Linked DNA regions of Elephas maximus indicus. The protein of the gene in region 1 binds, or shares a complex with, the protein of each later gene. Links are inferred from orthologs where the notes say so. Each region holds a gene or a part of one and is shown in the gene's direction. Other genes may lie near its edges. The genes, in order: ORC2, ORC5, LRWD1 and ORC4.

Region 1 (7,515 bases):
GATTTTACTTTTTTAAGTCAGTCAACTCCCTGAGGAAAAATATGTAGAGACATAACTGATTTTCCTCTTTGTGTTGACAGAGGAGTCATTGGTGAAAAAAAATCTGCAGCTGATATACTGATGTTACAGTCTGCTGTTTCAAAATTAAATAAAACTTTAAGAATTACTTTTAAAAATCTAAATTTGATAACTCATTCTTTTTTTTAATATTTTATTTTGTTTTTTGATGAAAGTTTACACAGCAAATTAGGTTCCCATTTAACAATTTCTATACATATTGTTTTTCTCATTATCTTCTCCTAAGGGGACTTTTGGAGCCCTGGTAGCACAGTGTTAAGAGCTTGGCTGCTAACCAAAAGGTTGGCAGTTTGAATCCACCAGCTGCTTCTTGGAAATCCTGCTTTACCCTGTCCTGTAGGATCGCTATGAGTCAGAATCGACTTGACGGCAGTGGGTTTGGTTTTGGGTTTTTTTTCAATACATATTTTTCAGTGACATTGGTTACGCTTTTCACAATGTGTCAGCATTCTCATTATTCCCATTCTGGTTGTTCCATTTGCATTAATCTAGTTTCCTTACCTCCCCTTACCTTCTCCTCTGTGCTTCAGGATAACTGTTGACCATTTGATCTCATACAGATAATTTTTTTAAAGGAACATAGTGTTGTTGTCAGGTGCTGTCGAGTCAGTTCTGACTCATAGCAACCCTACGTACAATAGAATGAAACACTGCCCAGTCCTCCACCATCCTTAAAATCATTGTTACGCTTGAGCCCATTGTTGCAGCCACTGTGTCACTCCATCTTGTTGAGTGTCTTCCACTTTTTCGCTGACCCTCTACTTTACCAAGCATGATGTTCTTCTCCAGGAACAGATCCCTCCTGATAACATTTCCAAAGCAAGTGAGATAGTCTCGCTATCCTTGCTTCTAAGGAGCATTCTGGTTGTACTTCTTCCGAGACAAATTTGTACATTCTTTTGGCAGTCCATGGTATATTCACCAGGCTTCACCAACACCACAATTCAAAGGTGTCAATTCTTCTTCCATCCTCCTTATTCATCACCCAGCTTTCGCATGCATGTGAGGCAACTGAAAACACCATGGCATGGGTCAGGTGCACCTTAGTCTTCAAGTTGACATCTTTACCTTTTAACACTTTAAAGAGGTCTTTTGCTGCAGATTTACCCAATGCAATGCATCTTTAGATTTCTTGACGGCTGCTTCCATGGGCATTGATTGTAGATCCTAGTAAAATGAAATCCTTGACAACTTCGATCTTTTCTCCATTTATCGTCATGTTGCTTATTGGTCCCTTGTGAGGATTTTTGGTTTCTTTATATTGAGGTGTGATCCATACTGAAGGCTGCAGTCTTTGACCTTCATCAGTAAGTGCTTGAAGTCCTCTTCACTTTCAGCACGCAAGGTTGTATCATCTGCAAAGTGTAGGTTGTTAATGAGTCTTCCTCCAATTCTGATGCCCAGTTCTTCATACAGTCCAGGTTCCCGGATTATTTGCTCTGCATACAGATTGAATAGGTATGGTGAAAGGATACAACCTGACATACACCTTTCCTGATTTTAAACTACACAGTATCCCCTTGTTCTTTTTGAACTACTGCCTCTTGAACTATGTAGAGGTTCCTCATGAGCACAATTAAGTGTTCTGGAAATCCCATTCTCTGCAGTATTATCCATAATTTATAATGATCCACACAGTCCAATGCCTTTGCATAGTCAATAAAACACAGGTAAACATCTTTCTGGTATTCTCTGCTTTCAGCCAGGATCCATCTGACATCAGCAATGATACCCCTTGTTCTATGTCCTCTTGTGAATCTGGCTTGAATTTCTGGTGGTTCCCTATTGATATACTGCTGCAGCTGCTTTTGAATGATCTTCAGCAAAATTTTACTTGTGTGTCAAATTAGTGATATTGATAATTTCCGTATTCAGTTAAATCACCTTTCTTGGGAATAGGCATTAATATGGATCTCTTCCAGTCAACTGGCCAGGTAGCTGTCTTTTAAATTTCTTAGTATAGACAAGTGAGCACTTCCAGTGTTGCATCTGTTTATTGAAACATTTCAATTGGTATTCCACCAATTCTTGGAGCCCTGTTTTTTGCCAGTCCCTTCTTGGACTTCTTCCTTCTGTACCGTCGGTTCCTGATCATATGCTACCTCCTGACATGGTTGAACGTCGACCAATTCTTTTTGGTACAGTGACTCTGTATATTCCTTCATCTTCTTTTGATGCTTCCTGAATCGTTTAATATTTTCCCTATAGAATCCTTCAGTACTGCAACTCAAGGCTTGAATTTTTTTCTTTAGCTCTTTCAGCTTGAGAAACACCGAGCGTGTTCTTCCCTTTTTGTTTTCTACCTCCAGGTCTTTGCACATGTCATTATAGTACTTTACTTTGCCTTCTCGAGCTGCCCTTTGAGACCTTCTGTTCAACTCTTTTACTTCCTCATTTCTTCCTTTTGCTTTAACTATTCGATGTTCAAGAGCAAGTTTCAGAGTCTCTTCTGACATCCATAGTACACACAGGTAATATTGTTTATGAGCCCATCTGTTACTTAGCTGAAAGGTGACCTCCAGAGCAGTCTCAGTTCAAAGGTTAAAGGGTATCTCAGGGTGATAGTTTTGAAGGGTTCCTCTAGTCTCAACTTCTCCAGTAAGTCTGGCCTTTTTTTAAGAATTTGAATTTTGTTCAACATTTTTTTCCCATTCTATCTGGGACCATCTATTGTGTCCCTGGTCAGGTTGGTATTGGTAGCAGGGCACCATCTAGTTCTTCTGGTCTCAGGGTAGATGAGGCCATGGTTTGTGTAGACTATTAGTTCTGTAGTTTCTTCTTCAAGTCTTTGGTATCCTTCTTTCTCTTTTGTACTGGACAAGTAGAGACCAACAGTTGTATCTTAGATAGCCACTCACAGCTTTTCAGACCCCAGATGCTACTCACCAAACTAGGGTGTAGAACAAAAACTTTATGAACCATGTTATGCTATGTTATGAACTATGTTGATGGAATTGTCCCACTATTGTGGTCCTAAGCCTTCAAACCAATCTCACAAGGTGTTTATCACATTCTTCTTTATATTCCTTGTTTTGTTGATATAAAATCTTTTATCTTTGAGATTTTGCTAGTTTGGAATAAATTTTCTTCTGGGTTCTGTACAGCCTATTTCTTCTTGGTCTTTTTGCCTCTTTGCAAGGTGAAGCTTTATTCAAAAGTTTGGTGATACTAAAACTGACTTAAAGCTCAGCCTGCAAGGGTATGGCTTATTAGCTAGTAGATTTCATGCTGCTCATCTGACTTCAGAGGTTCCTGTAAACTTAATTCCTGGGACTAGCTGGAGTTCTGTGACAAGAACAGGCTTGATTCTTATTGGCTGTCCTCTCTGCAGGCCTGTGTTTGTTTTAACTTAGCTCCTGTCTTGTTCTTTTAATTGCTTGTATGTTCACACTTTTAAAAAATAGTATTATTGGTGAGTAGTACTGTATCCCAGCCAGGTTCTTTTCCTTTTCTTCCTCATTATCTTTTTCTGCCTCTATTCCTTCTATTTAAGGAGCCCTGGTGGCACCCTGATGGCCGCAGTAGTTGAAATGGCTGCTAACGGAAAGGTTGAAAGTTCTGAAACCACCAGCTGCTCCATAGGAGAGAGCTGTGACAATCTGCTTCCATAATGATTTACAGCCTTGGAAACCCAGTGGGGTGGTTCTACTGTCATATAGAGTTTCTGTAAGTCTGAATTGAGTCCACTGGCGATGGGTTTGTAATCCTTCTATTTATCTTGCCTTTTTATCCTATTAGCAGTATGATCCCATCTCCATCTTCAGTGCTCTGGCCCTAATTCTCTTCTTTATAGAGGGCTGTTTCCCCTCCTCCAAATCCTAGAGATGCACAAGATCCTACCTTTTACAACAGGAGAGAAAAATAAATAAATAAACGCAAGTAGTCCCCGTATTTTTTCTCAAAAAAAAAAAAAAATTTTTAAAATCAATAATCACTTCTAAGATTGCCCCAAAATAGAGTAACGCTCAGCCGCAGTTTTTCCAAACAACATCTCAGATTTCCTCAGATACAACCAACACTTCCTTCTCCCTTCCCCGGAAACGGAAAGAGGAAAGGAAAAGCCCACAACTCCAACGCTCGAGGATTCGTTTTCCCTCAGATTTCCTGGTGTAGGGGGGCCGGCTGGCCGGCGCCGACTGGCCCGCAGAACCGTCGTTCTCAGCCGGCTCCGTTTCTTATTGGCTGTCCCGGGCACCGCCCCTGAGCAGGGCGGGAGATTTGGTGTGCGGCTGGCAGGCCTCCCATCCCCCAGCCGGCCTCCTCTCCCACCTCGGCCCTCCTGTGGCGTTCCTTTTGAGTACTTGTCCCTCTGGCTGGGGCCAAAGCAGCTTTCCCTGCTGCAACGGCTCAGCCTGGAGGCGTCCGGCTGGTGCTAGGGGGCCAGGGCCACGCCCCGCGGGAACCTAGCGGTACGTTGAGGGGCGACGGGGCAGCCTGCCTCCTTCTGCTTGGCTGTGGGCTTCTGAGGTGAGTTGCGATGAGCACAGCCTTGGCATCCGAGCTGGGGCGTCCGCATTTCGGGTTTTGTGTCTCAGGGCTTCCTCTCAGCACCTGGGGCAGGGTCGCTGCGCCTCCCGCTTCGCCTTCCCCAAGCTAGCCCCCTGTCGTAGCGGCACGGGGACCCCCGGCCGGCGGAGAGCAGCCCGGTGGTCAGCAACTGAGGCCCAGGGCGAAGTCCGTAGTATTTGTTGCGGTAAGAGGCGCCCTCTGGGAAGACTGTTCGTCTGTCTGTCCGGCAGTGATAGCCTTTCCATGCTAGGGACGCCCGAAACCAACATGCCTGTTCCCTCGCCTAAGGAGCCCTCTGCTTGTAAAAGGAGAACACATGAAAATGTACAACGAAAGTAGGAGAGTGCCCTGTGAGAAGAACAGGTACAGTGAGAGATGTGGGGTTCAGAGATCACATCCCAGAACTACACTGTAGGGACAACCTTTGATTTCATCCCAGACTGGAAGCACCAAATGAGTCCCGCTAACTGAACGGTCACCCTGGGTCAGTGCTTGGTTGTAAAGTTGATAAACCAGGATCCTTTGATAGAGCTTTTAAAATGAAAAGGATGCTTATGTATTACTTTTCATTTTACAGTTGAAATCAAATTAGACCAAAATTTCCTAATGGAACCATGACACAGTCCCTTAGTTAAATAGCAGTTGGAAGAATAGCATGGTCCTGCATCTTTGTGTAAGGACACACTGCATATTAAATGAACATAATCCAATCATCATTTATTGAGCACACTTTCTGTTGTTAGATGTTGAATGAAATGTAGAGATGTACAGGAGATTTGCATGGTAAAATTGTAGTTTAAAGTAACGATACCAATACTACTGAATGTTTAGTGAGTACTTTCATATGCCAGGCACATGATCCCATTTAAGAGATCCAAGATCACACAACTGTAAGGTGTGATGTTAAAATTGGTGCTTAACTATTAACCTACGTCACTTTCTTTCTAAAGGATTATGTTAAAATTGCAACGATTTTTATTGTTCTCAAAGGAGAGTGTGTTGCTTTTAACACTTGGTGCTGCTATATTGCCTTGCAGTTAACTTTGAGTGTGAGTTTTCTATCCCCTGACTCCTTGAGAGGAACTGATTTACACAGCAAGCACCCAGGACAGTGCCTTGAAGGGTCATGTTGTTGTTGTTATGTGCCCTCTGGTTGATGGGGACTCCTAGCGACCCATAAGACAGAGTAGAACTGCCCCGTAGGGTTTCCCAGGCTGTAATCTTTACGGAAGCAGATCCAGATCTTTCTCCCACGGAGCACTGAGTGGACTCAAACCACCAGCCATTCAGTTAGCAGCCAAACGTTTAGCCATTATGCCAGCAGGGGCGTCCTTGAAGGGTTATAAATGGTCACTAAATATGACACGTTAATTTATTGTGTGATTGTTGAGTAGTTCCCCACCCCCCGCCCCCCGACTGTTGGAGAAGGAAGGTCTTTGTAGACATTTCTTCAATTTGGTGATTCTGTACTAAATAATGAGAAGCCTTAAAATTTAGTTAAGGAAATTCATGTATAAATGAATTTGACTATAAACAAGAGTTAGGCTGCCTCTATCCTGGCAATTCTTATGTAAAATGCCATAAGGAAATTACCTAGGACAATATTCAGTTACCTAGAATATTTGATTTTAAATTATCTTTGAAAATCTTTTTTATTTTCCTGAAGGAACTACTAAACTTTTGCTGATGAGAATTATATGACTGACCTTTATTCCTTTTGACTTTGATTTCCAGGAAGCTCAGAGCCAAAAAATTCTTTGTATTTTTATTTTCTGCTATTCTTTGTGTTTTCCCTGGTCCACACTCCCTATTAGTATTTATAGTTTATCATTTGTTTTCTTGCATTTGTTCATTACCACTGCTTCAAGTCCTTTGTGGAACACAACAGTATATAATTAAGTAAAAATAACATAATTATACTGAACCTGGCATGCTGTTTGAAGTACGCTTTGTAGAACTGGTGATGTTTAACCTAATGAACCAGAAAATTACTGCTACCTATATAAATCTCTGGGTATTTGAAGTACCATGTGGGAAAATGATTAGACTTATTATGAATAGTTTCTAGAGATCAAAGGAAGAGTTTAGGTTAACAGATTTTTTATTTAATGATGGGAGAGGTGTGTGGTATAATAGAATGATCAGGAACTTTGGATTCAATCAGCCTTGGGTATCAGCCTTAATACACTTTCTAATAATGTCAGTTTGGGCGAGTAATTTAATACCTAACCTCAGCTTTACTCATCTGTAAATTGGGAAAATTATAGCAGTATATGTAATACCTACCTCAAGTAGTCTGAGGATTTAGTGAGCTGGTGTGCGTAAAAGGGCCTAATACAGTACCTGACAAAGAGCCCCCCTCAAACTGTTAGTTTCTTTATACAAATGTCATATAGATGCATTAAACTTTTTCTCTAATACAACAGGATGCCCTAGAATAGGAAAAATATCATAACTAGAAAAACGATCTAGAAGCATATTTTACTGGTAGTGGCCGTATAGATTTTAGATAGTGTTATGTTTATATGGAAAGTATAAACCTCATAGAGTTGTTGTGAGAGTTAAATGAGAATACGTATAAAGTAGCCCAAACTGTGCATGGCACATAAAAACCAGTTGCCGTTGAGTCGCCTGCAACTCATAGTGAGCCCATACGTGTCAGAGTAGAACTGTGCTTCATAGAGTTTCCAGTGGCTGATTTTTGAGAAGTAGTAGATTACCCGGCCTATCTTCCAGGACATCTCTGGGTAGACTCAAACCTCCAACCTTTCGGTTAGCACCCTGGTGTGTTAATTGTTTGCACCACCCAGGGACTCCGTCTAATACATACCAAAAACCAAACCAAACCCAGTGCTGTCAAGTGGATTCCGACTCATAGCGACCCTAGTGCTCAAATTTTGTCCTTTTTTCCCCTCTCTCTAATATCCA
Region 2 (7,342 bases), on another chromosome or scaffold:
TTGGCTTAAAAATCTATTTATTCGGGCTGTTTTTTAAAATAATTTTTATTGTGCTTTAAGTGAAAGTTTACAAATCAAGTCAGTCTGTCACATATAAGCTTATATACAGCTTACTCCATACTCCCACTTACTCTCCCCCTGAGTCAGCCCGCTCCCTCCTTCCAGTCTCTCCTTTTGTTACCGTTTTGCCAGTTCCTAACCCTCTCTACTCTCCCATCTCCCCTCCAGACAGGAGATGCCATCGCAGTCTCAAGTGTCCACCTGATAAAAGTAGTTCACTCTTCATCAGCGTCTCTCTCCCACCCATTGTCAAGTCCCTTCCATGTCTGATGAGTTGTCTTCGGGAATGGTTCCTGTCCTGGGCCAACACAAGGTTTGGGGACCGTGACCGCCGGGATTCTTCTAGTCTCAGTCAAACCATTAAGTCTGGTCTTTTTATGAGAATTTGGTGTCTGCATCCCACTGTTCTCCTGCTCCCTCAGGAGTTCTCTGTTGTGCTCCCTGTCAGGGCAGTCATTGGTTGTGGCCAGGCACCATCTAGTTCTTCTGGTCTCAGGATGATGTAAGTCTCTGGTTCATGTGGCCCTTTCTGTCTCTTGGGCTCATAGTTATTGTGTGGCCTTGGTGTTCTTCATTCTCCTTTGATCCAGGTGGGTTGAGACCAATTGATGCATCTTAGATGGCCGCTTGTTAGCATTTAAGACCCCAGACGCCACACTTCAAAGTGGGATGCAGAACGTTTTTATAATAGAGTTTATTATGCCAATTGACTTAGAAGTCCCCTTAAGCCATAGTCCCCAAACCCCCGCCCTTGCTCCGCTGACCTTCGAAGCGTTCAGTTTATTCAGGGAACTTCTTTGCTTTTTGTCCAGTCCAGTTGAGCTGACCTTCTGTGTATTGAGTATTGTTCTTCCTTCACCTAAAGTAGTTCTTATCTACTAACTAATCAGTAAATAATCCTCTCCCACCCACCCTCCCTCCCTCCCCCCTCTTGTAACCACAAAAGTATGTGTTCTTCTCAGTTTATACTGTTTCTGAAGATCTTATAATAGTGCTCTTATACAATATTTGTCCTTTTGCATCTGACTAATTTCGCTCAGCATAATGGCTTCCAGGTTCCTCCATGTTATGAAATGTTTCACAGATTCGTCACCGTTCTTTATCAACGCGTAGTATTCCATTGTGTGAATATACCATAATTTATTTAACCATTCATCTATTGATGGACACCTTGGTTGCTTCCAGTTTTTTGCTGTCGTAAACAGAGCTGCAGTAAACATGGGTGTGCATATATCCGTTCATGTAAAGGTTCTTATTTCTCTAGGGTATATTCTGAGGAGTGGGATTTCTGGATGGTATGGTAGTTCTATTTCTAACGTTTTAAGAAAACGCCAGATTGATTTCCAAAGTGGTTGTATCATTTGACATTCCCACCAGCAGTGGATAAGTGTTCCAATCTCTCTGCAGCCTCTCCAACATTTATTATTTTGTGTTTTTTGGATTAATGCCAGCCTTGTTGGAGTGAGATGGAATCTCATCGTAGTTTTAATTTGCATTTTTCTAAAGGCTAATGATCAAGAGCATTTTCTCATGTATCTGTTAGCTGTCGGGCTGTTTTTAAAATAACAGAATGTGTACAAACTTGAATTTGGGACGAGTGGATTTTTTTTTTTTTAAATAATTTTTATTGTGCTTTAAGTGAAAGTTTACAAGTCAGTCTCTCACATATAAACTTATATACAGCTTACTACATACTCCCTACTTACTCTCCCCTAATGAGTCAGCCCGCTCCCTCCTTCCAGTCTCTCCTTTCGTGACTGTTTGCCAGTTTCTAACCCCCTTTACCCTCCCATCTCCCCTCCAGACAGGAGTTGCCAACATAGTCTCAAGTGTCCACCTGATGCAAGTAGCTCACTCTTTATCAGCATCTCTCTCCAACTCATTGTCCAGTCCAGTCCATGTCTGATGGGTTGGCTTTGGGAATGGTTCCTGTCCTCGGCTAACAGGAGTTTTGGGGACCATGACCGCTGGGATTCTTCTAGTCTCAGTCTGGTCTTTTTATGAGAATTTGGGGTCTGCATCCCACTGTTCTCCTGCTCCCTCAGAGGTTCTCTGTTGTGCTCAGGGCAGTCATCGGTTGTGGCTGGGCACCATCTAGTTCTTCTGGTCTCAGGATGATGTAGTTTCTAGTTCATGTGGCCCTTTCTGTCTCTTGGGCTCATGATTACCTTGTGACCTTGGTGTCCTTCATTTACCTTTGGTCCAGGTTGGTTGACACTAATTGATGCATCTTAGATGGCCGCTTGTTCATGTTTAAGACTTGAGACACCACACTTCAAAGTGGGATGCAGAATGTTATCTTAATAGAATTTATTTTGCCAATTGACTTAAATGTCCCCTGAAGCCATAGTCCCCAAACCCCCGCCCTTGCTTCGCTGACCTTCTAAGCATTTGGTTTATTCAGGAAAGTTCTTTGCTTTTGGTCCAGTCCAGTTGAGCTGACCTCCCCTGTATTGAGTGTTGTCCTTGCCTTCACCTAAAGTAGTTCTTATCTGCTATCTAATCAGTAAATAACCGTCTCCCTCCCTCCCTCCCTCCCTCCCTTCTCTCGTAACCACAAAAGAATGTGTTCTCAGTTTATACTATTTCTCAAGATCTTATAATAGTGGTCTTATACAATATTTGTCCTTTTGCCTGTGACTAATTTCACTCAGCATAATGGCTTCCAGGTTCCTCCATGTTATGAAATGTTTCACAGAGTCATCGTTGTTCTTTATCGATGTGTAGTATTCCATTGTGTGAATGTACCATAATTTATCCATTCGTCCATGGATGGGCACCTTGGTTGCTTCTTGCTTTTTGCTGTTGTAAACAGTGCTGCAGTAAACATGGGTGTGCATATATCTGTTCATGTAAAGGCTCTTGTTTCTCTAGGATATATTCCGAGGAGTGGGATTTCTGGGTTATATGGTAGTTCTATTTCTAGCTTTTTAAGGAAACGCCAGATGGATTTCCAAAGTGGTTGTACCATTTGACATTCCCACCAGCAGTGTATAAGTGTTCCAATCTTTCCACAGCCTCTCCAACATTTATTAGTTAGTGTTTTTTGGATTAATGCCAGCCTTGTTGGAGTGAGATGGAATCTCATCGTAGTTTTAATTTGCATTTCTCTAATGGCTAATGATCGAGAGCATTTTCTTATGTATCTGTTAGCCACCTGAATATCTTCTTTAGTAAAGTGTATGTTCATATCCTTTGCCCAATTTTTAATTGGGTTGTTTGTCTTTTTGTGGTTGAGTTTTAACAGAATCATATGGATTTTAGAGATCAGGCGCTTTTTGGAGATGTCATAGCTGAAAATTTTTTCCCAGTCTGTAGGTGGTGTTTTTACTCTTTTGGTGAAGTCTTTAGATGAGCATAGGTGGTTGATTTTTAGGAGCTCCCAGTTATCTGGTTTCTCTTCGTCATTTTTAGTAATGTTTTGTATTCTGTTTATGCCTTGTATTAGGGCTCCTAACGTTGTCCCTATTTTTTTTTTCCATGCTCTTTATCGTTTTAGTCTTTATGTTTAGGTCTTTGATCCATTTGGAGTTAGTTTTTGTGCATGGTGTGAGGTATGGGTCCTGTTTAATTTTTTTGCAGATGGATATCCGGTTATGCCAGCACCATTTGTTAAAAAGACTACCTTTTCTCCAATTAACTGACACTGGGCCTTTGTCAAATATCAGCTGCTCATATGTGGATGGATTTATATCTGGGTTCTCAATTCTGTTCCATTGGTCTATGTGCCTGTTGTCGTACCAGTACCAGGCTGTTTTGACTACTGTGGCTGTATAATATGTTGTAAAATCAGGTAGAGTGAGGCCTCCCACTTTGTTCTTCTTTTTCAGTAATGCTTTACTTATCCGGGGCTTCTTTCCCTTCCATATGAAGTTGGTGATTTGTTTCTCCATCACGTTAAAAAATGTCATTGGAATTTGGATTGGAAGTGCATTGTATATATAGATGGCTTTTGGTGGAATAGATATTTTTACTATGTTAAATCTTCCTAGCCATGAGCAAGGTATGTTTTTCCGTTTATGTAGGTCCCTTTTAGTTTCTTGCACTAGTACTTTGTAGTTTTCTTTGTATAGGTCTTTTACATCCTTGGTAAGATTTATTCCTAAGTATTTTATCTTCTTGGGGGCTACTGTGAATGGTATTGATTTGGTGATTTCCTCTTCGATGTTCTTTTTGTTGACGTAGAGGAATCCAAGTGATTTTTGTGTGTTTATCTTGTAACCTGAAACTCTGCCGAACTCTTCTATTAGTTTGAGTAGTTTTCTGGAGGATTCCTTAGGGTTTTCTGTGTATAAGATCATGTCATCTGCAAATAGCGATAATTTTACTTCTTCCTTGCCAATCCAGATGCCCTTTATTTCTTTGTCTAGCCTAATTGCTCTCGCTAGGACCTCCAGCACAATGTCGAATAAGAGTGGTGATAAAGGGCATCCTTGTCTGGTTCCCGTTCTCAAGGTAAATGCTTTCAGACTCTCCCCATTTAGGATGATGTTGGCTGTTGGCTTTGTATAAATGCCCTTTATTATGTTGAGGAATTTTCCTTCTGTTCCTATTTTGCTGAGAGTTTTTATCATGAATGGGTGTTGGGCTTTGTCAAATGTCAAAGCCGTAATCTTTACGGAAGCAGACGGCCACATCTTTCTCCCGTGGAGTGGCTGCTGGGTTTGAACCACTGACCTTTCAGTTAGCAGCTGAGCACTTAACTACTACACCACCAGGGCTCCTTTTAATCATGTATGTAGTATGTAATATGTAAACTAAAACTTTACAGAAATTTTAAGTACGTAACAGAGAAATCACTTAGAGTTTAATTCAGTTAAGTTCAGAGTACAATGATGAATCCACTGTATGCTCACTGTTGAAATAAATTTGATTGAGTATTTTGTTTAAGTACATAAAGCTTTCTGATGTGAATTGGTAAGTTTCTTTTCTGTTTTATACGTGCCGACTGATGCTTGGCTTTTCTACCCTAGAGACACCATTTCAGCTTTCCATCCATTTTTATTTATGGACATACAGCCAGTGGAAAGACCTATGTCACACAAACTTTGTTGAAAACCTTAGAGGTAAGAATAACCCCCAAACGATGTTAGGTGATTTTTACTCATAGATTCCTAGAAGTCGAAGGGACCTGGGAGATTATCTAGTCTAGTTTACTTTCTTCTAAAGGAGTATCTTCTACATAGAACATGCCTGGTCAACTTTTATTTGAATAACTCCAGAGACTGTAACCCTCAAAGGGCATTATTAGATAACTTGAGCCTAAATGTTAGAAAGTCATTGGTTTAAGTTGAGCCAAATTTCTTTCTAATTTTCACTGCCTAGTAATAATCCTAAACCCTGAATGTGCATGTTTAGTATGGCATACTGAACTATTTACAGTTCCTACTGCTATATCCTAGCCTTGGCACATACTGCCCCTTCTGCTTGGAATGGCTTTTCTTTACTTGTTTCTCCTCTACTACCCCATTTCTTGGCAAATGCCCATTAATGTTACCAGATTTTCTTTTACCTACACTCTGGGAAGCTTTTCCTGAGTCCACAATGTTGTGTTAGTTGCTCTTCTGCTCTACAGCCTCAGTACCCTGTGCTTAATTCTGTGAGCTCTGATTTTGTGTTTGTCTTTTCCTGGCTCTGGATTGTCAAGTTTTTTGAGAGTATCCCCAGTACCAAGCACAGTGCTTGTGGATTTCAGCCTTTGATCCTCAAGATCAGCTATGCATTTTAAAAAAACACAGATGCCTAGACTTCAGGATCATAGTGTCCAAGAGTCTGGCCCAGGCATTTGCACTGGAGGACCTCCCTATATGAAGTTTCCAAAAATATATGTTGAATAAAGAATGCAAACCCAGTAAGGAAGTTCTATATTTAGTGCCTGTATTCCGTTTTTGAACACCTTACAATTTTTGCTTCTGCTTAATCAGTGTAATAAGTGATAATTATCACTACTTGTACAGGTACACAAAAATTATGCCCCTGACACTTAGAATATGCTTGCATTAAAGGTCATAGATAGCATGAATACAGTAAGCAAGGCACTTATTCACGACTGAGATGCTGTAACCTTTCGTTCGTAAAGGAATGGGATGGGGAGGGCAGGGGTAGTCAGTAAATGCTGGTGAAACTGCCTAGGTAAGTGTAATGTAGTCTTATTACACTGTAACTCTGCAAGAGAAAAATGTCTCCTATTGGGCAAGATTTATAGAATATCACTAAAAATAGCTATTAAAAAAAAAAAAACCCATTGCCATTGAGTTGATTCCAACTCATAGCAACCCTAAAGGACAGAGTAGAACTGCCCCACAGAGTTTTCAAGGAGCGCCTGGTGAATTCAAACTACCCACCTTTTGGTTAGCAGCCATAGCTGTTAACCACTACAGCACCATGGTTTCCAGAAAAGAGACATATCTATAGATGCTATTAATTGTGTCAAATGCCACAAGTTTTCTTTCTCTGAAAGATTATTACTGCTTTTGTAATCTCATTTTGAGGAAAATAGACTTTGTTCTTGAGTAAATCTTTAATTCCTTATTACTTTTTGGATTTTCTCCGTTTTGATAGTTCTCTAAGTGAAGAACTAGTTCCTATGATAGAAGGGTTACTATAGTTTCTGGTTCTTACAATTCCTTTCTTGATCTAGGTTTATTCATCTATTAAGGATATCATCTTAAAATTATAAACATGAAATTCTCACTAAGAATTTTAACATTCAAATGTACTTGGATTTTTTTTTTCTTGTTTTGTAAAAATGTAAGTAACAGCCTTTGCCATTTGAACATTTTTCACGTGTGCAGTTCAGTTAGAGGAAAACACAAGTTTGACTTTGAGTCCCTGCAGGAAACAAATGGCAAACTCAAAAGAATAATTGATGTAAGTTTAGTGAAGGAGCTATTTTACAAAGGTTGAGGATGCATTAAGGGAACCAGTAAAAATGGTGAGGCATCGAGGGACTGGTAACAGTGGGAAGACTTTACCATTTCTAGACCTGAAAGAGCCATGAGGAGGAGTTGTTACTAGGACCTATCAAGAGTTCTAGTCTTAGAAGAGCTGCTGCCTAAGAGCTGTGATCTCTGGTGGAAGAATATTGCCACTGTTAAACTGTGGAACACCAGGTGGGGAGTCCAGAGAATAAATATCCAACTTTTCTCTCCTACCACTCTCCTTTAGTTTCTTGCTGGTTTCTCCCATTTGCTGAATCCAACCACAGCAGGAAGTAAGAGAGTCTGGGTGATGCAGTTTGTAAAGTTCAGCTTCTGGTGGCACAGAGTGGGCTGGAGAATGG
Region 3 (7,264 bases), on another chromosome or scaffold:
GGTGGATTCGAACTGCCACCCTTTTGGTCAGCAGCCTGAGCTATTAACCACTGTGCCACCAGGGCTCCGTATTGCTGATCGAAACCAAAAAAACCAAATCCACTGCCGTCGAGTCAACTCCGACTCATAGCGACCCTATTACTGCTTCTAAAATCCCTCCCTCGGCTTCTGATACACTTTCCTCTTCGACTTTCTTTCTTTCTTTTGAGGGGAAATATCAATTAGAAGTTTATTTGGTCGTAAAATTATGCACGTTTATTATCAACCTTAAATGGTATTTGCTTACCCACAAAGCTTGGAAGAAATTGGCTCATTGCAGATTTAAAAGCATTTCTTACTACTATCCCAGGGGATGAAAGTATTACAAGGGTCTCTTTAAAATTCAAAGGAGCTAAAGAACATGGTACAAACACTGTTGGTCTCTAGTACAGAAAGGAATAGCGCCTTTTTTTTTTTTTTTTTTAAGTACTCCTCCCCAGCCATTTATTTGAATGGAGGAAGAATGACTTGCCTTTAAGCAAGGAGTTGTTTAGGTTGATCTTGTCTTGAAGCATGTAACAGTGTTCACTAAGGAAAAAAAAAAAACACATTTCAGGCTTGGACAGTTGCCTGCACCTCCTTGGTGAGCCACTGGTAAACCTCTGTAGTAGTGGAAATACTTTCGGCCTGGTGTTAATATTTGGTATTTGTTAAAAATAGCCTGGCCGCATCCCTTCATTAGGAGTAAGGCAATGCTTTTAGCTCCCGGCAAAGTTTGTTTCTCGGCTGGGATGATACGAAGGCAGTGCGTGGGACAGCAAGTTCCAATCATGCAGCCTAGCAGTGCATCAGAGCAGAAAAACTTAGCTTCAGACTTATACTTGAAGATGGCGGCACGGTGTGATGGTCCTTCGGGGGCGTAAAAAGTCAAACACGGGGGCAATGAACTCTTACAGACGTGTGTTTTATTTCCTTGCAGTGACTTTGAAATCTTGCAAGAGCTATGGAAAAGGAGTGTCTTGCTGACTCCGAGTTATGTCGTTCTTGCTGGCGTTTAGGCCTCTGATCAAAACAGCTGGTCTCTGCTGTTTCTCCTTATGCACATGGGCCCACACAATACTTTCACTGTGCAGAGCAAATTGTTGGGTTGTCAGAAGTGAAGATGCAGCTTTCTTTGCCGCCCTGGAGCGAATGGATCCATTACAAGAGGAAAACTTTGTGCATTCCTTTAGACACGGGAAGGGTTTATTAAAGAATATCATGGTATGGTATATTTTTCTCACTGGCCACCCATGTTGTTACTTTGACATTCTGTTGCCTATAAAAAGCCTGTTTTTCTTCATGATAAAATTATCTGCAGCTTGACTTCTTCCATTTATGTCTAATTCTTCCCTAACCTTTATCTGCCATTGAGTCAGCTTCAACTCATTGTGACCTCATATGTATCAGAGCAAAACTGTACTCCATAGGGTCCTCGATGGCCGATTTTTTGGAAGGAGATTGCCAGGGCTTTCTTCTGAGGCACCCCGGGCAGCCCTGAACCCCCAACCCTTCAGCTGGAATTTTACATGTTATCTTTGTCTTTTCCCATATGCGACTGCTGTTTTTTTTAACTTGGCTATAAATGTACATATAATTCTATATTCTGCTTTTTATTATAGCAAATGTTGTTCTTTTTATGAAATACACTTTATAATGTCTACAATGACTTAACCAAACTTGAGGTTAAGGGCACAGTCCTCCAGACTGCCAAGTCTGCCCAAGACTTCAGACACCAGCTGCAAATTCAGGGGTCCAGAAGGCCATCCTCCCTTCTGTCCAGCCTGCTGCCAATTCGGGGGTCCCCATGGATTCTCTCAGGTTCATATAAATTGCTAAGGCGACTCACAGACCCTCGGGAAGTGCTATACTTAAAATTACAGTTTTATTATAGCCAAAGGATACAGATCAGAACCAGCCTAAGAGACACATAGAGTGGAACCTGGAACCGGGAGAGTTCCAAAGGCGAACCTTTTGTGTTCTTAGGGATGAATTACTCTCTTCCGGCGACGATATGTGCCAGTACACGCAAGGAGTACTGCCAACCCAGGAAGCTCACCTGAGCTTGGTGTCCAGAGTTTTATTGGGGGCTTTATTATGTAGGCATGATTGATTAAATCATTCTGTATGTTGTTCAACTCAATCTCCAGCCCCCTCCTCTCCCCTGGAGGCTGAGCTGACATCACATAGCTCAAAGTCCCAACCTCTGATCACATGGTTGGTCTTTTCTTGTGTGGCCAGCCCCCATCCCGAGTCATCTCCTTATCATAAACTATCTAGGGGCCCACCATAAGTTCTTCTGGCTTTCTTGACTAACGTAAGAGTTAGAACCTAACGTAGTATTTGCTGGATTATATGTACCACTCAGTTTTAATCCTCAGGACAACCCCAGGAGGTAGGGACCATAGCTGCTCCTGCATGTGAGGCTCTGGCCAGAGCTTGCCCAGCTAGGACTGCAAAGCCCATCAAAGCTCCACCCTGGCCCTCTGTGGCCTCTCTTCTCTCCCTGCTCCCATCCCCAGGGCCCTACTGCTGGTCCTCCATTCTTCTCTCACTGTTCTCGCCCCCTGAAGCTTCACCTTCAGCCTCTGACTTCAGCTTAGATGTCTCCTGAGCTTTGGGCCACCATCTCCTGTCTCCTGGACCCCTCGCACTGGACATCTTGCTCTCCTCATCCAACAACCATCCAAGCTGGGATGGTGCCACCCCACAGTGCCCCATGTCTCCAGGCTTATGGCCACCAGCCTGAACTGTTTCAGGCCCCCAGCACTTCTACTGTGAACACCGCAGAGATTTCTCCACTGGCTTCCCAGCCTCCATACCTTCATACCATGCCTCTCAGTCTACCCCAGGAGCTTTTTAAAATTCACATCTGACCGTTTAGGAGCTCCCTGTGGACTTTAGGACACATCCACCCTGCTCAGTGGACACACAGGCGTCTCCGTCGGCAGGCTCCATTGCTTTTTCCAGCCTGAGCCTCACTCCACTCTCCAAGCACATGCACTTCCCCCAGGCCTTTGTCTAAGCAGCTCCAACATGGACCGTGCTTGCAGCCAACTAAAATATTTCCAGGCCACGTGGCGCAGTGGTTAAAGTGATCACTGCTAACCAAAAGGTCCGCAATTCAAAATCATCAGAGACTCCAGGGGAGAAAGATGAGGTAGTCTGCTTCCTAAAGATTTACACCTTTGGAAACCCTAAACCCACTTTCGCTATTGGTCAGAATCAACTCCACAGCAGTGGGTTAAGTTTTTGGTTAAATAGGAATTAATATTCTCCTTGAGTGGTTAAGCGTTGGCTGCTAACCAGGTCGCCAGTTCGAATCTGGCAGCCGCTCCTTGGAAACTCTATGGGGCAGTTCTACTCTGTCCTATAGGGTCGCTATGAGTCAGAATTGACTGAACAGCAACGATTTTTTTTTTCTTTTTGGACAATTTCGGTCCAAGTTGTTTGGGGCCCCTTTGCCCTGGCTTCCCCCACCCTCACTCTTTCTGTCTTCTCCCCAGGTCCCGTGAAGCTCAGCACCAGACAGGGAGGGGCTAGGTCGAGGTTTGCTGACACACTCCCCAAGGTCCCGGAGGTGAACTGTGATTGGACGACACCCCACGTGGAGGAGCCCCTTCTCTACACCCAAGACCACTCCTCAAAGCCCTCATCCCCTCACCCTGCAACGCCCCGGGCTCCTGACAGTCTGGTCCTGGCCCGTCTCGTGACTAATCTGGGCCTCAGTTTCCCCATATGTAGAATGGAGTTTGTGGGCGCGGTCCATGTCCCAGTCCTTACCTGCGGAGGGAGCTGCCAGGACAGGTCACCACCGCGCTGCCGCTCGCAGATCAGACAGGTCCTGATGCCCTTGCAGCCACATTCCTGAAGGACCTCTGGTGCCTCTGCCACCGTCGCCGCCGCCATAGCCCCGCCCGGGCAGCCAGGACGCAGGCGCGGGGCCGCGTGGGCCGCTGGGAGTTGTAGTCCTCACCGCTGGACACGTGGTCCGAGGGCCCGCTTCCTTCCGGTCTTCACCGCTGACGGGCTCGCGAGGCGCCGCCTTCTGGGCTTGCTCACCGCCGGGCGACAGTACCGGGCTTCTCGAACGCTGGAGCTGCCGTTGGTGGCGGCACGGGCCACGCCTTCTCGCCATGGGCCCCCTCTCGACGCGGCTGCTGATGCAGCGTGGCCGGCCCAAGAGCGATCGGCTTGGGAAGATCCGCAGCCTGGAGTAAGGGCTGGGCCGGGGGCGAGGTTGTGTCCGCGGGATCAGGGCCACACAGCCCGCCACCCAGGCTGTCTGGGCTGCCCGGGCCTGGGCTGCCGGGGGTCGGGAAGAAAGCCTGGGGCCCTCCCCGACTCCATGCCCATCCCGGTTAGCGCCTCTTCGGTTCGCCATCGCCCCATCGCCAGGTGCCTTCCTCTAGTGACACGGGGCCGAACCGCCACCCTACCCGTGTGCCCCCTGGGCCCCGAGTGGCCTTACTCCGGAAAAGTGCCCTGACTGCTAGGGTGACAGACAGTGTTGATATAACTGGGGTGGGGGGGCCGTGGGGAGCACAGGGAGCCCCCAGAGGATCAGGAAAACCATCCTGGAGGGGACTATGCTCGGCTGAGCCCTGAAGTATGGCAAGATTAAAAATAAGTAAATAAAAAGTGTGAGGGGTGGGGAGGAAGGGGTTGTGCATGTTCCAGAAATGTGAGGGGAGAAGGCCATCTGAGGCCAGGGGCAGCTGGAGGTGTAGGGTGGGAGGCATGCCGGCCCCCTGCTTGCCCCCTGAGCCTTCCACGTCTGCCTCCCTCCTCACCTCAGCCTGTCAGGGCTGAAGCTACGCTCTGAGCACTTGGACCCCAGTCTCCTGGGCCGCCTAAGGCAGCTGCAAGAGCTGGACTTGTCCAACAACCAGCTGGACACACTGCCTGCCAACCTGGGCCTGTCCCACCTGCGCATCCTCCGCTGTGCCAACAACCAGCTGGGGGACGTCACTTTCTTGTGCCAGTTCCCACAGCTCGAGGAGCTCAGCCTGGAGGGCAACCCCTTCCTGACGGTGAGTGCCTCCCCCAGGCCCCAGGCCCTGGGGCCAGGACTCTTCTGGGATCAGATGGGCAGCCTCTGAGCCATGGTTCCCTTATCTCCCAGGTCAGTGACAACCTGAAAGTCTCCTTTCTCCTGCCCAAGCTCCGTAAGGTCAATGGCAAAGAGGCTTCCGCAACTTTCTCTCAGGTGGAGAACCTGAACCGGGAGCTGACCAGCAGGGTAAGGGCAGTGTCTCTGGGAAGCTGGAGGCAGCATTGAGGAGGGAGTGCAGAATGAGACATTTGGAGGACACTGAGGGCTGCTGTCCTGACACAAAGGGGCCCTTACATCCCTAAGCCTGGCCTGAGCCAGGTGCTGCCTCTCCTCTGAAGTCAGGTGCTTGGGCTGTGGTCTTTGGAAGCCCTGCCCTCCAGGTTTGCAGGCAGGGCCCAGCAGGAGAGGCTGGGTGATTTTCATTAGTATCCTACCAGGCTTGACCCTGGGGCAGTTCTTCCCATTCTGGGGCTGTTCCTGATACGCGCATATTGCTTAGGTTTGTGCAGCCTGCAGATAAGAAGGCTGTGGTTCAGACAGGCTTCCAGGTGATGAGGTCGAGATGCTTGTGGCTGTGATGACTTTGGGAGCAGTGGTGCCTCGGGGGGCCCAGGAGAGCTGGGGTGGACTGGATGGACTGGACCTGGATCTGGTCCCTCTTGTACCAGGTCACTGCTCACTGGGAGAAGTTCATGGCTGCCCTAGGCCCCAAGGAGAAGGCTGAGAAGGTCCAGGCCGACTTTGTGAGGTCTGCTGTCAGGGATGTTCGCTATGGGCCTGAGTCCCTCAGCGAGTTCACCCAGTGGCGGGTAAGTCGTTCAGGAGGTTGGTTCTCCTACTTCCTCGCTAGCTCTTGTGGCCTATAGCTGCACTGGGGGGGGTCTCTGGCCCGTGAGGGGTAAGGAGTTGTGGGGAGTAGGGGGGTTAGAGAAGGCCCTTTCCCAACTCCAGAAGGACAGGCTGGGGTCACTCAGGACTGTGCCCAGCTTCCGGATTACCTGGCCCCACCCAGGTACGGATGATCTCTGAGGAGCTGGTGGCCTCTGGTGGGACCCAGGTGCCTAAGGCAGACAACCTAGAGAGGCCTGTGGAAGCCGCAGCCACCCGTGAGTCCAGGGTGAGTACGAGTAAGGTTCCTTGTGGCTCCCCAGTGCTCTGTGTGCCCGCTACCTCCATCCTGCCTGCCTAGGGCAGCCATGGGGGAGCGAGGGTCCTAGAAATGAGCCCAGGTGACAAGGGGCTGTGGTCCAGCCTGTCACGGGGAGGAAGGAAGCCCCAGGCAGATGGGCCTATTGTCACAAAGCCCTCAGCCTATCCCTGCCCCCTCCGCAGGCCAGGCTGATGGCCTTGAAACGGCCACATGATGTCCCACTCAACCTCTTTCCCAACAAGCGGGTGTGTACCTCCCCATCAGCCCAGGTGGAGGGCGGCCCCATGGGCTCTGACGGCAGCCAGGTAAGCTGGCAAATGGCAGGGAGCAGGTGGTGGGGTGAACAGGGCCTGTGGCAGCCATGACCCCTCTGTCCCCAGGCTGGCCTGAGGCTGGAGCCCCTGCACTTCCTGCAGTGCCACAGCAAGAACAACAACCCCCAGGATCTCCAGACCCAGCTGTGGGCCTGCGCATTCGAGCCGGCCGGGGAGGAGGGTATGTCCTTGGTGGGCGGGCCACGGGAAACAAGAGCCAGCAGGCTTTCTGGATAGAGGGTGCCGGAATGCACCCTAGAGGGGCAGCCTTGGTGGACTGGGGAGTTGGGAGGGCCAGAGAGCTTAGAAAACATCAGCAGGGCCAGGAGGAGGCAGCCACAGGGAAGAACTTTAACAAAAATGTTTTCACTAGGCTGACCCCCTCCAAACAGGGCATTCGGAGGACACATCCCAGACTGTGGCCACTTGCGGCGGGGAGGCCGTCTGTGTGATCGACTGCCAGACAGGCATCGTGCTCCACAAGTACAAGGTGCCAGGCGAGGTGAGTAGCAGAGCCATGTCCCGCAGGGTGGCCCACAGAGTCCTGGGATGGGGGGTCTAGACTCAGCCGGCTCCTGACCATGTGGCCTTTTTCTTTTATGCTGGGCCTCCGTCCCCAGGCTCAATCTGTCATGCATGTTCACCCATGTAGCTTGATGCCCTCAGTGACCCCTTCCCCTACTCCACACACCCCAGGAGTTCTTCTCAGTGGCCTGGACAGCCGTG
Region 4 (8,331 bases), about 55 Mb from region 1:
ACTTTAACGAACGGTATCGGTGATCTTCAAATGAAAGCATTATGATCAGCTCTAAAACCCAGCCATGGTAGCCACATGCTGTTTTTATGGCCTAAAGTGAGTGAAGTATATATATAGTAAAAATCTCCAGAATACATTATCAAGTGGAAAATTTTTCTTTATGTTTGTATTTTAATAAAATACAGCAATAACCTTCTTAACATGCATTTTTCCACCTAACAGTATCCATTTAACTAATAAAATTTATGTAGAAACATCAACATAATGATATAATACAATTTGAAACACAAGATATCTGTTTACATTAAACTGCCAAACCCAAAACCAAATCCACTGCTATCGAGTAAATTCCAGCTCATAGCGACCCTACAGGACAGAGCAGAACTGCCCCATAGAGTTTCCAAGGTTGTAATCTTTACAGAAGCAGACCGCCACATCCTTCTCCTATGGAGCAGCTGGTGGGTTCAAACGGCCAACCTTTCGGTTAGCACCTGAGTGCTTAACCACTGCACCACCAGGGCTCCTCGTTAAACTTCAGGGACCATCTTTTGCTTCTCAAATGCCTAAGCACAGTATCTGGCAGACAGTAGGTGTCAACAGATGTTTAATAAATAGCTAAATACAATTTGTTTTCGCACATACATTCAAAATCCAGACAAGTTTGCAAAAGTACATTAGTTGGACATAGGCTTTCTGGCTGACTTCATTGGGTCCCACTGATGACTAGGAGTAATTCTTCATATCCATAGAAAACTGGAAAGCTGATAATTGTCTGGGTAAGGACCAAAAAAACAAAGTCAGGGAAACACGTCACCTAAGTAACAGTTGCTTTATAGAGCTGGTAAAAGCGGCCTATGCCCTATTACTGCAGCAGTCCCTAAAGAAACGAAGTTTAAGTGTATCCTGAATATTTGCTACTACCTTTTTAAGTGAAATTTTTTGATCATCCCTTATTCAAAATAAATCACTTTTGTCAAATGTATCCTGTACATGGATGAGAAGGGAATATATGCATTTACGTCTTATTATGAGTAATATATTGCTGACAGAATTTAATCTGGCTGTTAACTGGAAAAAGTGAGAGCAGCAGTGAAAAAAAAAATTGTAGTAGTGAAGACACTGGAGTAGTAAGGAGAGGAAAAAGAAAGAGATGGAGAGAAAGAATCCCATATGTGTGAGGAAACAAATTAAAATACACCTAACTCTAAAACTAAAAGGTATTATGGCAAATAACTAATAGGGCCTACTATGCACCAGGCACTGTGCTAGGAATGACAGATATAAACGTTAAAAAATAAAATTTTTTCCTTAAGTAGTTCATAGATGAAGAATCAAAAGTAAACATTTGTAATACAGGTGGCATTCTACTTCTTCTTATAAACATGGATCCTTGAGAGAAAGATGCATATTTAGTGTTGAATTGGAAGTACTGGCGATAAAGTAAGCATTAAGAAAAGCTGAAATGATTCTCAAAATAGCAATAATCCACAGTGGGTAAAACCAGTATTTCCTAAAGAAAATCAACAACAAATTACTAAATTATAAATGGACACAGTTATGGTTTTAGAGCTATGTGCCTTATTATCAGAAGAATATGCCTTCATATAAAACAGTTAATTGTAATAGTTTCATTTCGGACAAAAGAAAATGAGGTAGTGTAACAGAGTGATGGTCAAAAGACTCGAGTTCAGGTCCCTGCTCTGTCTACTTACAGGCCATGGAAGCCTGGGCAAGTCCTTTAAGCTCTCTGAAGTTCAGAATATGGAAAACGAAGAGTTGGATAAAGTGACCTCCAAGATCATACCTAGCTGAAAAAGTACAATCCTAAAATATCAATAGTTCTCAATGCCTAAAAATTAAGCCATAATAAAAACACATTAAAGAGTTTTTTAAAATTTAAATCATTATCTGACTTAGAGAAAGTCTGAAATCATCAAACCATAAAGGGTTACCCTGGGGGGAGGGTGGGAGTGGGAGAAGGAATATCTTCAAAGGAAAAACAGAACCTAAGGAAAGGTACTATACTCAAGACTGTAAGTTTTTACTCAGCTGCATATTGAGCAACTATCTTAAACCACCCCAATTAGCTATACAATTTGCTTTACTTAAAACTGATTTCTTCACTAAGTTCTACTTTTCTATCTCCTAAGTTAAAGTTTTTTTGTTTTGTGTTTTAAGTTAAAGTTACTGAGGTTTTAAGTGAAGACAAGAAATCCTAAGTGGACTTAGAAGTATTGATGTAGTGGGAAAAACTTGAACTTGGTACAGGTTTCTGCTTAAGTGCACCAAGTACACCCCAGAGAAAGGTAAGAACTGTTTGAATTTATAACAGAAAGGAGAGAAATAAGATCATGTTGTTTACTGTTATACAGTTTCTTTCCTGTGTGTAAACATCTAATTGCACACAGTTGGTAATTAAAATTTTACTATTCTGCTATTCTGCTACTAGAATGAGTATATTATGTCTCGGGATTTTCATCAAGAAAATAAAAAAATAAATAACTATTATCATGTCTTTATATTATTTACGTCAAATGTCCTCCTAGGTTTATTTTTCTTCAATCATTTCTAGTTGATTAAATTGCTGTTTTCATATTGCCAGTCTGATCACAAAATTGCTACTTTATAGAAAAATATTTTTTGCTGACATCCATTATGGGATCAGAAATACCAATGCTGTTACAAAAAGGGTGTGAGAATGTGTGTGTTTGAGTGTGTGAAAGAGAGAGTGTGTGTGTGGGTATATATGCATGTATGCATCCATCTTCAAGGAAAGGATAAAGAAATTTATATAGGAAACAAAATGACACTTTCCAATATAAGCCCCAGTAAAAGGCCTACATCAGAAACAAATTTTCTAGTATTTGCGAAATAAAATGTCACACTAAACATGAGAGCCATTCACTAAGACTATACCATGTAAAAATGGAGCATAGTGATTTTCATGAAGATTGTTATTCTATAAACTTAAATCTGGATTTTTCTTTTAGTACATTTCTAACTACAATTAATACACTAACTACAACTTCATGATTTCTTTTACTCAGGAACATATTTTAGAAATCTGTCTCCTTTCACATACAGTGAGCAATTTGGTTCAGTACCCCATGAGATGAAAAACTCATCTCAATTTACAACAGTAAATAAATAATTCAGTTAAAACTGAAAGTGGTACCAATGCAGCAAACTATTGATGGAGAGGTTTGGCCTTCCATGAAGCCAGAACAACATAAAGTTTTCAATGGCGATTACATGTTCAAAGAAGTTACAAAGATTAGAAAAATTACCAGATCAATTATGAAATAACTACTATTCTCATCTTATGGAAAACAAGTTATCAGGAACATGTATTGACAAAAAACAATACCAGTGGTATTTAAAGTTTAAGATTTTTGAGGTTTGAACTTATATACTGATACATGAATTAAAACACAACACAAAATGCAATATAAAAGTCAAAACCTAATGAAAGGCCTCTATCAACTAAAATTTTGAATATTTCCTATGCAAGTGAGACAAAACGAAAAACCGGAAAATTAAAACCCCAAAGCAAAAACCAATCAAGTCTGTTCCAACACTGAAGTCAATATCCAAATCACATACAGGGCTAAATAGGGGAAAACACTCAGGTCTACAAATGGATAACCAGTTTCAATACAATCCAGACCCCGACATTTTCCTACTCAGAAACAAATGCAGTGGAGCTTTTTCTGAGGAAAGAGGAGAAAAGCTCTCCAAATGAATTTTTTTAAGTGACATTTAGAAAGTGTGCATCTTTCTGTCTCTTTCCCTGGCGCCTCATTGGAGGAAGGAGGGGGTTGTTTTTGTATTCTCCCCCATTGGAGCAAGACACAATCAGATGTTAGCTGGAGAAGAGAAACCACTTTTGACAACAACAAATAAAAATAAAAGTGCCCTTCCTGCCCTGACAGGATGGGCACCCCACCTCGCACACCCCTCCCCACTCCAACCCCTCCTTCACCCCCCAGCACCACCCCCGAGCTCCACTGCGTATGTGGTTTGGTGTTACTGTTGCCCCGGAGTGAAAGTCAGAGCCAGAGGAAGGCAATGAAGCCCCCACAGACACACTTACCTTTCCTGCCCCCCACTTTTGAGTCCCTTCCCTGGAGCTGTGGAGGATGACACAAAGGGTAATAAAGGGGGGGAGTAGAGGAGGAGGAGGCGAAGGAGGAGGAGGAGAGCTGGGGAAGTGGCTGCTCCTGGGTGTAGTGAGATGTCTCCAGCCAGGGCCAAGCAGCAGCAGCAGCAGCAGCACCAGCAGCAGCAGCAGCAGCAGCAGCAACAGCAACAGCAGCAGCCAGCAGCAACAGCAGCAGCAGCAGAGAAGGGTCTGTGTTGCTAAGAGGCTTTTGGTCTCTTTCTCTCCTCCTCTCACGGCCAAAGAGGAGGAGGGTGGAGGGGGCTCGGGAGGGAGGCGAGTGGAGGGGTGAGGGGGTAGGAGTCGTGGATGGGGGGTTTCGAAGAAGAAGAAACTCCTTTTCCTTCTCTCTCAGGCTCAATCCCCCTCTCAGGGCTCCCGGCTGGAGGGTGGGGGAAGGAGCTCAGCCGCCTTCCCCCCACCCCCCCTCAATTCAAGGTTGAAGTGGGGTAAAATTAGTGTCCTGTCCCTTTAAAAATAGAAATAAAAGGTGCCCCCCCTCTGCCACTGCCTCTCTCTTCATCATCAGCTGCTGCTGCTGCTGGGGTCTCTCTGCTTGGGGGGGAGGGGGGGCTCGGGTAGAAGAGATGGGAGGCACTCACTGCGCATGTCCCTCTCTGACGGGAGGCTGGTTGGTTGAGGGCAGGAGGAGGGGGAGGGGAGGAAATGAGATGGTTTCCCAGAAGGCGCAGAGGCGCTCGTGACCCGGAAGAAGTTGTAGCAGGGGTAGGGGGCGGGGGCAGGGAAGAGGAGGAAGTCGTTACTCTTTAACTACCCCCGCCCCCTCCTCCCTCCTAAGGGAAAGTGGAGGAACGGAAGTGGGCGTGGACAGAGGCGAAAAGAGGTCACGTGTTTGGGCGCGAATGGGGTGGGGTGGGCGAGGCGGTGCGTGAGCGGGGCATGTCGGGAGTGGTTGCGTGCCGTTGGCACCAGCTGGTGAAATCCAAGCTAAGTAGGCGGTGAGGCAAGCCTGAGAAGCTGTTCCCGGGGTCGCTGGATTTCCGTCTGTGCCCTGGTAAGCAGGATTTTATTTGAGAGGTAAATTGGGATAGCTTGGCCTCAGAACGAGGGACAGGGACGCCAGTGTTGAAAGACGAAGCGAAAGGGGGTGGATGGGAGGCTGAAGAGACTGGGAATGCGGGGACGGGGCAGGCTTGTCTAGGCCAGACAGGCCAGGACCAGGCGGGCTCGTTCTGTTTCATGGCCTCATGGTGAGGCCGCCGCCGAATCTCTGACGAGCGCAGGGAGTCTTCAGGAGAGTAGATTTACAGCGGGATGACGACTCAACTTGGTGGTGAACGAGGAACGTGATGCTTGGGTGTAAGAAATGGGATCTGTGGAGCCTCAGCAGGTGACTTGCTAACTGCTTCCTCAGCTCGGGCAGGGGCCCTGTCTAGGGACAGAGACAAACCCCGTGTGTGCATTTTGACCAGCTTCTGGCACCAGATGCATTGCTTGTATTTTACGTGTTGTGCTCTTCAGTCCTTACCTCGCAACCCTTCTTGGAATTCTGGAGCGGCTTGAGGGAAGGAACAGTCAGGGAAGTCTTGAGTGGAAGAATTTCCCTCCACATCTTGTGTTGCTATTGCAACACAAAACCTGTGCCTGTTCTCAGAGAGGGATATTAGGTTATTTAGTTCTGGGTCATGAGTTTTATGGTTGGTAAAGAGAGAAGCGACATCATAAAGTTTTCTTTTACTGTAGTGTAAATACCGTGTTTTTAAAATGAGTATTTTGTCTTAAGTTTCTTTGGGTCCTAGCCTTGGATTTTAAGCCTTTGGTTGCTCCTCAATTAAGTGCTACGTTTTTATTTTGGGGGGAAATAATGAGTGCTGCTATCAACACAGAATTAATTAAAAATATTTAAGAATTCATACACTTAAATTAATAAAACTTTATTGTAAAATAACAGTCCTTTTTTCACCTTCTGTTTATACAATCTTAAAACATTCCACATCTTTCAAATACCTTCTTTTGTAAAGATACTTTGAAAGATTATCATCTAAACTTGCTCATGTTTATTGCATTGATATTATTTAATTCTGTAAAGGGTCTTTTGGGATATGCTATTAACGTTATTTATTTTCTGAGTTTGACTTTCTGTGTATTTGGCAGTGAGTCCTATTTATCATATTCTTGTACTTATTCCTTTCTGAATGTAATCATGTAATATGGACTCAAAATTAGAATCCTGTGCCTTAAGTTTTTTTTTCTAGTGAACCAAATAGTTTCCAACTTATAACAGAAAATAATTATAGTGGGGCAGTTAAAGTGCCTAAGATACAATTCTTTATATCTTTTTTTTTGTGGTAAAATACTGAATATTCAGAAGAGTGCACAGCACATGGAAGTGGAGTATAATGAACAATTATATAAAGCAAGCATTCTAACCACTACCAAAGTCAAGAACTAGAACATTGCTGGTGCCTGAGAATCGTTCCTCCCTTCGTGCATTTCTAATCATTCCCTCCTTTTCACCCTTTCTGGAGGTTAACACTGTTCTGATTTTTATGGTTTTTACTGCTTTTCATTCTAGTATTTCTTTTAACCACTTATGTTGGTATTCCTAAAATACAGTTTTGTCTGTCTTTAAACTATGTGTAAGTGAAATTATACATTATCATGTCATGTCTTTTTTCTCTGAAGTCGCTAAGACTTAACCTTGTTATTATATTTAGCTGCTCTTCATATATTTTCATTGCTGTGATGACTATAGTATAGCATTTATGGAGTATGGTAATTATTATATAATATAGTAAGTCTTTTTGTGAGTAAGCCTCAACTAATTTAACTCGTCTAATGCTGGTGAAAGGAGCCCTGGTGGAGCGGTGGCTAAAGCGATCAACTGCTAACCTGTGATCTACTGCTAAGGGAAAGGTCGGCGGTTCCAAGCTACCAGCACCTCTGTGGGAAAAAGATGTGGCAGGCAGCTTCTGTGGATATTTACAACCTTGGAAACCCTATGGGTTTGCTATGAGTTGGAATCAATTCGACAGTAGTGAGTGGGTTATGCTGATGAACCAGAGCCTTGTTAGAGCAGTGGTTGAAGCGCTCAGCTGCCTACCAAAAGGTGGGCGGTTCAAACCCACCACCTGCTCCCCAGGAGGAAGATATGGCAGTCTGCCTCCATAAGGATTTACAGCCTTGGAACCCCTATGGGGCAGTTCCCTGCTCTGTCTTACAGGGTGGCTGTGGGTTGGAATCTACTTCACAGCAGTGGGTTTGGTTTTGGTTAATGTTGATGACCAGTTGCTGTCGAGTTGATTCTGACCCTAGTTGGCGCAGTTTGCCCTCAACTACTAAACTAAGGTTGGTGGTTCAAATCCACCCACCCAGTGGCACTGTGGAAGAAAGAAAGGCCTGGCAATCCATTTCTATAAAGATTACACCCAAGAAAACACTATGCAGCCATTCTACTCTGTAACACGTGGTATCAGTATCAGTCAGGATTAACTCAACAGCAACAGGTTTTTATGGTTTTTCTGTTATTTTTAATGCTGATGAATACTTGGATTATGTCCAGCATTTAGCAATTATAGGTATGCTGCTATCAGTGTTCTTTTACATATATTTTTATACACATAAACATGCGTTTTTGTACGGTATATATGTTTATCTTCAACTTCAGTAGATTTTGCCAACGTCTTCCAAAACAGATGTACCAATGTATACTCCCACCAGCAGGATTTGAGATTTTCCTTAATTTCTACATTCTCACCAACAGTATGTGCTTTTTTCATTTTTGCCAGCCTGATGAATGTAGCTTTATCTTACTGTTTTTTAATTTGCACTGCCCTGTTCACAAATCCAGTTGTCCAGTAAACTTTCAAAAGTTTATTGGACAACTGGATTTTTTTAAATTGCCATTTTAAGTCTTTTGCATAGTTTTTCTATTAAATTGTCTGTGTTTTAATATTTAACTGCAGAAATCATGTTCTGTGCTTATGCTATCCCATACAGCAGCCTTTAACAGCATGTGGCTACTCAGCACTTGAAATGAGGCTAGTGTGAGTGAGGAGCTGAATTTTTCATCTTATTTAATATTAAATTTGAAAACTGATACTCAGTTCAGCTATTGGAAAACTTTTAAGTATATTTGAAACATCTTAAGTACGTGATCTACTTTCTCAACTGTAAATTTTATAGAAATATAGATCAAGTATTTCTGATGA

What was found.
Region 2: the proteins of ORC2 (region 1) and ORC5 are in contact, whole or in part, in a cryo-EM structure (PDB 7JPO), measured with the Homo sapiens proteins. The link is inferred for Elephas maximus indicus from reciprocal best matches to the Homo sapiens genes ORC2 and ORC5. Residues at the interface, in NP_006181.1 of Homo sapiens: Val240, Glu241, Tyr243, Phe244, Glu245, Ser248, Asp396, Gln398, Arg401, Gly402, Glu403, His426, Asn428, Ala429, Pro430, Leu431, Met432, Trp433, Asp434, His435, Gln438, Trp445; in NP_002544.1 of Homo sapiens: Asp324, Lys325, Phe328, Leu329, Leu359, Asp360, Arg361, Ala364, Tyr367, Ser368, Ala378, Asn379, Phe381, Ser382, Gln383, Thr385, Ser386, Thr389, Asp400, Gln401, Leu402, Asp403, Tyr407.
Region 3: the proteins of ORC2 (region 1) and LRWD1 are in contact, whole or in part, in a crystal structure (PDB 8SIU), measured with the Rattus norvegicus proteins. The link is inferred for Elephas maximus indicus from reciprocal best matches to the Homo sapiens genes ORC2 and LRWD1. Residues at the interface, in NP_001012003.1 of Rattus norvegicus: Val11, Pro12, Ser13, Val14, Gln15, Phe16, Val17, Gly18, Asp19, Val22, Leu23, Ser24, His25, Ile26, Leu27, Asp28; in XP_038945348.1 of Rattus norvegicus: Pro262, Leu263, His264, Phe265, Leu266, Gln267, Cys268, Ser270, Asn273, Ser274, Pro275, Leu320, Val321, Leu322, His323, Lys324, Tyr325, Lys326, Leu367, Val369, Gly372, Phe373, Cys374, Pro596, Pro598, Val599, Ala600, Val605, Ile630.
Region 4: the proteins of ORC2 (region 1) and ORC4 are in contact, whole or in part, in a cryo-EM structure (PDB 7JPP), measured with the Homo sapiens proteins. The link is inferred for Elephas maximus indicus from reciprocal best matches to the Homo sapiens genes ORC2 and ORC4. Residues at the interface, in NP_006181.1 of Homo sapiens: Asp501, Asp504, Tyr508, Ser512, Gln518, Glu522, Val554; in NP_001177808.1 of Homo sapiens: Lys168, Asn169, Arg195, Glu200, Leu201, Lys204, Arg205.

Annotation. Positions count from the first base shown.
Region 1 is NC_064824.1:99,650,123-99,657,637, reverse strand, and holds the start of ORC2 (origin recognition complex subunit 2), read left to right. Parts: upstream 1-4,258; 5' UTR 4,259-4,545; intron 4,546-7,515. UniProt on the Homo sapiens protein: Component of the origin recognition complex (ORC) that binds origins of replication. DNA-binding is ATP-dependent. The specific DNA sequences that define origins of replication have not been identified yet.
Region 2 is NC_064826.1:45,402,200-45,409,541, forward strand, and holds the start of ORC5 (origin recognition complex subunit 5), read left to right. Parts: upstream 1-4,174; 5' UTR 4,175-4,359; coding exon 4,360-4,515; intron 4,516-5,033; coding exon 5,034-5,126; intron 5,127-7,342. UniProt on the Homo sapiens protein: Component of the origin recognition complex (ORC) that binds origins of replication. DNA-binding is ATP-dependent. The specific DNA sequences that define origins of replication have not been identified yet.
Region 3 is NC_064830.1:93,960,088-93,967,351, forward strand, and holds the start of LRWD1 (leucine-rich repeat and WD repeat-containing protein 1), read left to right. Parts: upstream 1-4,024; 5' UTR 4,025-4,154; coding exon 4,155-4,234; intron 4,235-4,816; coding exon 4,817-5,051; intron 5,052-5,143; coding exon 5,144-5,260; intron 5,261-5,742; coding exon 5,743-5,883; intron 5,884-6,086; coding exon 6,087-6,191; intron 6,192-6,406; coding exon 6,407-6,529; intron 6,530-6,604; coding exon 6,605-6,719; intron 6,720-6,930; coding exon 6,931-7,040; intron 7,041-7,234; coding exon 7,235-7,264. Other genes in the region: ALKBH4 (alpha-ketoglutarate-dependent dioxygenase alkB homolog 4), read right to left, coding at 3,802-3,927. UniProt on the Homo sapiens protein: Required for G1/S transition. Recruits and stabilizes the origin recognition complex (ORC) onto chromatin during G1 to establish pre-replication complex (preRC) and to heterochromatic sites in post-replicated cells.
Region 4 is NC_064824.1:44,913,577-44,921,907, reverse strand, and holds the start of ORC4 (origin recognition complex subunit 4), read left to right. Parts: upstream 1-5,051; 5' UTR 5,052-5,174; intron 5,175-8,331. UniProt on the Homo sapiens protein: Component of the origin recognition complex (ORC) that binds origins of replication. DNA-binding is ATP-dependent. The specific DNA sequences that define origins of replication have not been identified yet.